Linked DNA regions of Sus scrofa. The protein of the gene in region 2 binds, or shares a complex with, the protein of the main gene of each other region. Links are inferred from orthologs where the notes say so. Each region holds a gene or a part of one and is shown on either strand. Other genes may lie near its edges.

What was found.
Region 1: the proteins of TNKS2 (region 2) and SH3BP2 are in contact, whole or in part, in a crystal structure (PDB 3TWR), measured with the Homo sapiens proteins. The link is inferred for Sus scrofa from reciprocal best matches to the Homo sapiens genes TNKS2 and SH3BP2. Residues at the interface, in NP_079511.1 of Homo sapiens: Arg525, Ser527, His531, Phe532, Gly535, Tyr536, Asn537, Arg538, Leu560, Asn565, Ser568, Tyr569, His571, Asp589, Trp591, Phe593, Glu598, Lys604; in NP_001116153.1 of Homo sapiens: Leu413, Gln414, Arg415, Ser416, Pro417, Pro418, Asp419, Gly420, Gln421, Ser422, Arg424.

Annotation. Positions count from the first base shown.
Region 1 is NC_010450.4:1,611,020-1,614,827, forward strand, and holds part of SH3BP2 (SH3 domain-binding protein 2), read left to right. Parts: intron 1-451; coding exon 452-569; intron 570-748; coding exon 749-819; intron 820-1,616; coding exon 1,617-1,705; intron 1,706-1,917; coding exon 1,918-1,986; intron 1,987-3,579; coding exon 3,580-3,808. UniProt on the Homo sapiens protein: Binds differentially to the SH3 domains of certain proteins of signal transduction pathways. Binds to phosphatidylinositols; linking the hemopoietic tyrosine kinase fes to the cytoplasmic membrane in a phosphorylation dependent mechanism.
Region 2 is NC_010456.5:103,437,619-103,441,426, reverse strand, and holds part of TNKS2 (tankyrase-2), read right to left. Parts: intron 2,633-3,808; coding exon 2,467-2,632; intron 1,699-2,466; coding exon 1,479-1,698; intron 1-1,478. UniProt on the Homo sapiens protein: Poly-ADP-ribosyltransferase involved in various processes such as Wnt signaling pathway, telomere length and vesicle trafficking.

The DNA.
Region 1 (3,808 bases), on a different chromosome or scaffold from region 2:
CAGCAGTGCCCCTGCACAGTAGACTTGGGGATCTTAATGAGAGCCCCATGCTTGCTGTGAGTCACTTCCTTGCCAGGGCAGCCAGGGCAGCCAGGGCAGGGCCGAGGCTGACACGGAGCCCCACGAACACCCCCAGCAGGCAGGCCAGGGACCCAAGGCGTCACACAGAGTGGCATTGGTGGGCAGTGAGGGTGGCATGTCCTCGTCTCAGGGCCTTGCACGTGCTGCTCCCTGGCAGCCCCCTGGACCCGCACGCTCTGCTCGCTGTGCCCCCTTTGCCCACACGCCTTCCTTGGCCTGAGGCACCAGGCGCTCAGCCCTCAGCAGCAGATCTCCCCGTGTCCCTCGGGGCACTGCGCTGGGTGCCAAGAGCGGTGCAGAGGCAGGGGCTGTGCTTAGGCCGTCCCTGTGGGTGGGGACCGGAGGGTGACCGCCGGTCCCCTGCCCTCAGGGTGATGCGGGCGGCGGAGGAGACGACGTCCAGCAACGTCTTTCCCTTCAAGATCGTCCACATCAGCAAGAAGCACCGCACGTGGTTCTTCTCGGCCTCCTCCGAGGAGGAGCGCAAGGTGATGGGGGGCCCGGGTTGCTCCGGGTCCCGGTCCTCGTGCCCAGAGCCTGGGGGCAGTGCCCTCGGAACCCGCTGGCTCAGGAGGACCCGTCTTCCCCGACCTTGGTGCAGGGGGGGGGCGAGGTTGGGGTCCTGCCGGGGGGCCTCCTGTCCACTGAGGCCCTGACCCACCCACAGAGCTGGATGGCCATGCTGCGCAGGGAGATCGGCCACTTCCACGAGAAGAAGGAGCTGCCACTGGATGCCAGGTGGGCCTGGGGTGAGATGGTGGGCGGGGTGTCCCCTTGACAGCTGTGCTCACCTCCCTGTCCAGGGGGCTTGGCCCAGAATCTCCGCCTTGAGGGCTTTTGTGGAGGTGCCAACTGGGTGTGTGTGTGTGTGTAGAAACAGAGCATGCAAGCACGTATCCCGTCGGTAGTTCCTGTTTGGGGGTACACCGCTTTCACCTGCCCACCCAGGAAGCCAGGCATTTGCAGAAGCTGAGACCTCTGGGTTCCTAGCCCCCTGACGCCCACCCCAGCTCCCTGGGGAGTGAGGCCAGATTGGGTCCCCAGGGTGGTAGCTCAGCCTGTCCCAGCCTCGTGGTGAAGTGGCTCTGCAGGTAGCAGGGGCTCTCTGGGCGGGAAGAGCATCCATCCTGTCCTTTCAGAGATGCGGGAGCGGGGCCTGGGTAGGGCTGGCATGCTGAGCCTGCCTCACGTCCCTGGCCTCAGCCCTCTGGGCTGGGGCCAGTGGGGATGGCACCATCTGGGCAGTCAGAGGGCACACTTGTGGCAGGAACCTCAGTGGGGAGGCAGGCACCCCAGCCTCCAGCCCTCTTGTTTGTCCTTGTGTGTTTTCCTGCGTCTCGATCTTCACACGTCCACACATCTCCATGTGTTCTCGTGATTATCCGTGCGTTTGTTCACGTCGTGTGTCCAGTTGTCTGCGTGCTCGTGCCTGTGTCTGTCTGCGTCTGTGTGTCTGTGTGTCCGAGTGCTTGTGTCGTACGGGTGAGTGCTCGACGCCCCCCGCCCGGGGTTCACCGCGCCCCTCCCGCCCTCAGCGACTCCAGCTCCGACACAGACAGCTTCTACGGTGCGATCGAGCGGCCCGTGGACATCAGCCTCTCTCCACACCCCACGGACACGGAAGGTGGGCCCAGCGCACAGCCTCTGCCTCACGTCCCTCTGCACCTGGCCCTGGCGGGGGCCGGCCGGGTCCTCCCTGGGCACGACCGGCTGTCCTCCCTGCTCTGTCCCTTGGGCTTCCCCAGGCAGCCTGGGTCCTGGGGGCCCATCCTGCCCACCTCATCCTTGCCCCCTGCCTCCCGCGGGCCCTGAGTCCGGCCTCCGTCTGTCCCACAGACTACGAGCACGACGACGAGGACGACTCGTACCTGGAGCCCGACTCCCCCGAGCCCGTGCAGCCTGAGGGTAGGCAGGGGTAGGCGGGGCCAGCCACAGGCTTGGGGTAGAAGGTGGGAACCGGGGCCTGGGGCAGAGCCCCCCAGGCTGGGAGTGTCACCTGGGTGCTGCGCAGGGGGCCTCAGGTATCACCGACCCAGTTTTCCTCCTGTGGCCCGAGTCTTGGGAGGAGCAGAGCAGAAGAGGCTTAAGGCTGTGGCTCTGCTCACCTGCTCCTCTGACCTCCAGTTAGCCCAGCAGTAGCCCAGGGCGGGGGAGGGTTGCTGAGCTGGGGAGGGAGGATAGCTCTGAGTGCCTCTGGGCCGGACTGTCGCTTGGCACCCCGCCCCACCCCCACCTCCCAAAGCACTTGGCCTGGCGGGGGCCAGGCGTTGAGCGGGCATCTCATACTAATATTGGCGTGCCCTCTGTCTCGTCGCTCCCTACTCCTGCCATCCCCTCACGGTCCTGTCCCTTCCACCTCCCTGGTCCTCCTCCCCCAGCCCAGCCTCTCCTCCCTCGCCCCAGCTCCTCTCCTCCCCTCCAACCTCATATTTCCAGGGATTTCTGAATGTCCCTCCACCCTCGGCCTCCTCTCCAGTGACCTTGTCCTCCGCCCACCTCGACCCCCTCGTGGCCTCCTCTTAGCTCTGCCTCCCCTCTCGAGTCCACCCGGGGCCTCAGCTCCCACAGGCCTTCAGCCCGCCAGCCCAGCCCAGAGCCCACGCGGTGCCCTCGTCCTGGGGTCTCTGTGCCCTCACGCCCCGCTCCACCCCTTCATCTCTCTGGCCTGTGACCCCAGCCCTGGTGAAGCCCCATCTCCATCTGCCCCACCCCTCGCTGGAGGGAGCACACAGGGGCTGTCTTATCTCCGCCCTGAACCTTAGGGGCCTGGCGCTCCTGCCTGCCAGCCTGCCTGCTCCAGGCATTCGGGCTCCCCACCCAGAGTGGCTTGTTGGCGTTCCCACCTTGGTGCTCAGTGCCCGTGGGCGGCACTTGACCAGGTGCCCTCTCTCTGCCACCACCTGCCTCACCAGCACCAGGCACTGTGTGCTTCAGGTCCCCTCCCGCCTCCTGCCCAGGCCTGTGCCGCCCACGTGCCCACACACACGACCGAAGGTCCCCCTGGCTCAGGACCACAGCTAGTGTGGATGGGCTGTTGGCCCTGCTGACATTGCCAGCCGGGACCTCTCTGAGCCCTGGGCCTGGGCTTCTCCAGTCTACGCTTCCTCCCCTGGCTGGGAGGAACTTGTCACGAGCAAACCCAACTCCCATCCTCCCCGCAGCCTGCTCCGCCCCTCCTCCTCCCTCTGAGGGGACATCCAGCCTCCCCAGCGGAGGCCTGATCCTGGGGGAGCTCCTTGCCTCTTTGCTCCCTGCCTCCCGCTCCTCCCACTTGGGAGCCTGATGGCTTCGGGAAGTTCGCACAGGCTGCCGTGTGGAGGGATGGACGGGGTGGGCCAGGAAGAGGGGAAGCCGCATCCAGAGCACGGGGTATTGGGCTGTAGGGTGGCCAGGTTGCATACCCACCTGGCTCTGGCCTTCCATGGTGGGCGGAGGTGGTGCTGGCCCAGCCTCCAGCAGGTGGTGCTTGCTCACCGCATGGGTCTCTTTGCTCTCCAGATGCCCTGATCCACCCGCCGGCCTACCCCCCGCCTCCTGTGCCCACACCCAGGAAGCCAGTTTTCTCCGATGTGCCCCGTGCCCACTCCTTCACCTCCAAGGGTCCGAGCCCTCTGCTGCCACCCCCACCCCCTAAGCGCGGTCTCCCAGATGCTTGCCCGCCCCCTGAGGACTCCAAGAGGGACCTGCTGGGCCTGAGGCGGGCCGAGCCTGGCCCTAGGGTGCCCCC
Region 2 (3,808 bases):
ACAATTTCTTAAACACTAGGTGCAGTGGGAGACTAAAAAGGAACTGTAAGAAGCGTATACTTCAGTCTCCCACACTTCACAAAAGGGTAGAACCTGCAGCACATTTAGGTTCCTGAGCCAAGGATGAAATCTGAGCCTCAGCTGTGACCTACACCACAGCTGCAGCAATGCCAGGTCCGTAACTTACCATGCCACAGTGGGAACTCCCCCTTTCTCTTTTTAAACCATGTGTATTTAGATAAACTTGTATGAGTCAAATATGCCTATACTGCAACTCCACTTAAGTATTAGCTGCAGCTCAGTGATTTTAATGGCTCATTCCCTAGTATCGTCAATGCAGCTGAAAAAGTTGTACTGAAATCACAATACGCCTACCTGCAAGGAAGACATACACTATGACAATTTTGTGAGTGAAAACTTAGAACAAATGTCATGTACTCAACTGTATTCAGCAAATTTCCTATGTTGAAGCCCTAAGCACTAGTACCTGAGAATGTGACTGTGTTTGGAGGTAAGGCCTTCAAAGGGGTAATTAAGCTAAAAGCAAGGCTATTAGGGTCAGCTCTATTCTAAACCCACTGTTGTCTTTATAAAAGGAAGATTTTTAGGACAGAGAGACATCAGTATGCACATATGTAGAGAAAAAGCCACGTGAGGACACAGGGAGCAGGTGGTCACCTGCAAGCCAGGAAGAGAGACCTCAGGAGAAACCAATCCTTGCCAACATCTCTAGAACTGTGAGAAAATTCATTTCTGTTGTCTAAGCCATCTAGTCTGTGGTAATTTAAGGCAGGCCTAACAAACTAATACAACAAATAACTTTGGCAAGAGGTTTATGTAACTTCTGAAAAGTCTTGGCTTGTGCCTAACAGCTATCATCAGAAGAATGGAAAGCTTCCCAAGAGGAAGGCCAGCTCAAGCAAGCATATTTTTAGTTTCTGTAGGCAAAACACACTCATCAGGAGTTCCCATCATGGCGCAGTGGCTAACAAATCCGACTAGGAACCATGAGGTTGCGGGTTCGGTCCCTGGCCTTGCTCGGTGGGTTAAGGATCTGGTGTTGCCGTGAGCTGTGGTGTGGGTCACAGATGTGGCTTGGATCCCACACTGCTGTGGCTCTGGCATAGGCTGGTGGCTACAGCTCCTTTTCGACCCCTAGCCTGGGAACCTCCATATGCCGTGGGAGCAGTTCAAGAAATAGCAAAAAAAAAAAAAAAAAAAAGAGAGAGACAAAACACACTCATCAAAGATGATTCAAATATTATGATTACCTAGAATAAATGTTCCAAAACACAGTGACTGGCAGAGCCTCTTTCAACTGTTCTTACTAAATACAACATGCTAGTACTAGAGTATAATGGTGGTATTAGAGGATATTTGATTTGAATCATTCAAGTTTACTTAGAGGAAGCATTTTACTCAGGTAAAACGAAGCATAGAGGTCACCAGCCTCAGTCTGTGACACTGCACTGACTTACCCGCTAAATGTAAAGGTGTCGAATGTCGGCCTTGGGTATCACGGCAATTTACATTATCTGGTGAAGACAACTTCTTTACTCTGGCTAAACAACCCTTCTTGGCAGCATCCAACAAAGCTGCATCTCCCCTAAGTAGATCCTGGATATCTGTATCTCCGTCTTTAACAAGATCCAAAGGAGTATTTCCATCCCTGTTTTTCTTTGTGGGGTCTGCCCCATGCTGGGCATGTGAAAAACATAAAGGGGGGAACTGGCTTAATTTTGCCCTTGGTCAATGAGAAAACAGTCAATGTAACCATACCATATTTTAAACAGAGATTCCACCTTAAAGATTAATGTGACTGTTATTCATGTTTAGTTTAATAAGCAAAAAATTATAATAATATAGTCAAAACTTTAAACTACATTCAAAACAAGGTAGTATTTCATTAGAAATGACCTTTTGCACATGCTATTTTTAGATTTTACAACCATATTTCAATGTTTGTACAAAGTATAAATTTAACTACACTTCTTTTTATTGTAAAATATCTACATGGTGCCAGTATAGATCTATCAGTGTACTACTGATTTCATTAGTGCTTAAAAAAAAAAAAAAATCTGGCTTACAGGAGTTCCTAATGTGGTGCAAAAGGATTGGCAGCATCTCTGCCGTGCCAAGATGCAGTTCAATCCCCAGCCTGACACAGTGGGCTAAAGGATCTGGCATTGCTGCAGCTGTAGCATAGGTCGCAACTGTGGCTCAGATCTGATCTCTGGCCCGGGAACTCCATATGCTGTGGGGGCCAAAAAAAAAAAAAAAAAAAAAAAAAACACCTTCCCCAAAACAAAAGACCTGGCTTAGAGTATTCATATTTATTCTGAAATCTAGGTACAGAATTGGCTAACTTTGATTCTTATCCCCTTACTGGTTTAAGTTTACATCAGAGGTATTGAAATACCATATTCTACAAAATGCGTCCTGTCCACAGTAAGTTCTTAAATATACCTGGAGCAGAAGTTTGCAAATTTCATATTTTCCTTTCGCTGCAGCTTCATGTAAGGGTGTAAATTTCCATAAGTCAGCGACATTAACTACTGCTCCATGCTTAACAAGAAGTTCTGCAACTTCATAATGTCCGTAAGAACACGCATTGTGTAAAGGTACAAGGCCTCTGAAATGAAAAGTTAAATAAGTAACACAACACAAAAATATATTTTAACTTAATTGCATTTAGTTGATAAATTTCTTGAATTGCATAAGGCATTTTCCTGATTGTATTTTAATTAATTAATTAATTAATTTTTGTCTTTTTGCCTTTTCTAGGCCTGCTCCCTCGGCATGTGGAGGTTCCCGGGCTAGGGGTTGAATAGGAGGGGTAGCCACCGGCCTACTCCAGAGTCACAGCAACTCAGGATCTGAGCCGCATCTGCAACCTACACCACAGCTCACGGTAATGCTGGATCCTTAACCCACTGAGTGAGGCCAGGGACCGAACCTGCAACCTCATGGTTCCTAGTCAGATTCGTTAACCACTGTGCCATGATGGGAACTCCTGATTGTATTTTATAGAACCCAAAACATTTATCTAAAGCAGAAATGGAATTAACTTTGCAGGAAAAGGCAGGAAAGAAATTTTAAAAATATTTAAAACTGCAGAGGAGTTTCCATTGTGGCTCAGGGGGTTAAGAACCCTACATAGCGTCTATGAGGATGCATGTTCGATCCCTGGTCTTACTCATCAGCTTAAGGATCCAGAGTTGCTGTGGCTGTGGCACAGGCCAGGAGCAGCAGCTCTAATTCAACCCCTAGCCTGGGAACTTCCACATGCCACGGGTGTGGCTGTATTTTTTTTTTTTTTTTTTGGTCTTTTCAGGGCCTCACCAGTGGCATGTGGTGGTTCCCAGGCTAGGGGTCAAACTGGAGCTATAGCTGCCAGCCTACAGCTCAGCCACAGCAACACAGGATCTGAGCCTCGTCTACAACCTATGCCACAGCTCAGAGCAATGCCAGATCCTTAACCCATTGAGCAAGGCCAGGGATCGAACCTGCATCCTCATGGATACTAGTTAGGTTCATTAACTGCTGAGCTCCAAGTGTGGCTGTAAAAAGAAAAAAAAAATTTCAGAGGGAGTTCCTTGGCCTAGAGGTTAAGGATCCAGCATTGTCACTGATGTGGCTCAGGTTCAATCCTTGGCTCGGAAACTTCTGCATGCCACAGGCACAGCCAAAAACAAACAAACAAACAAAAAACAAAACACTGCAGAGAATATAACATCTATATATTCAATATCTAGAATTGAGAATCACATATTTAAAAAAAATTTTAAGATAAACTGGAAAATCTCAA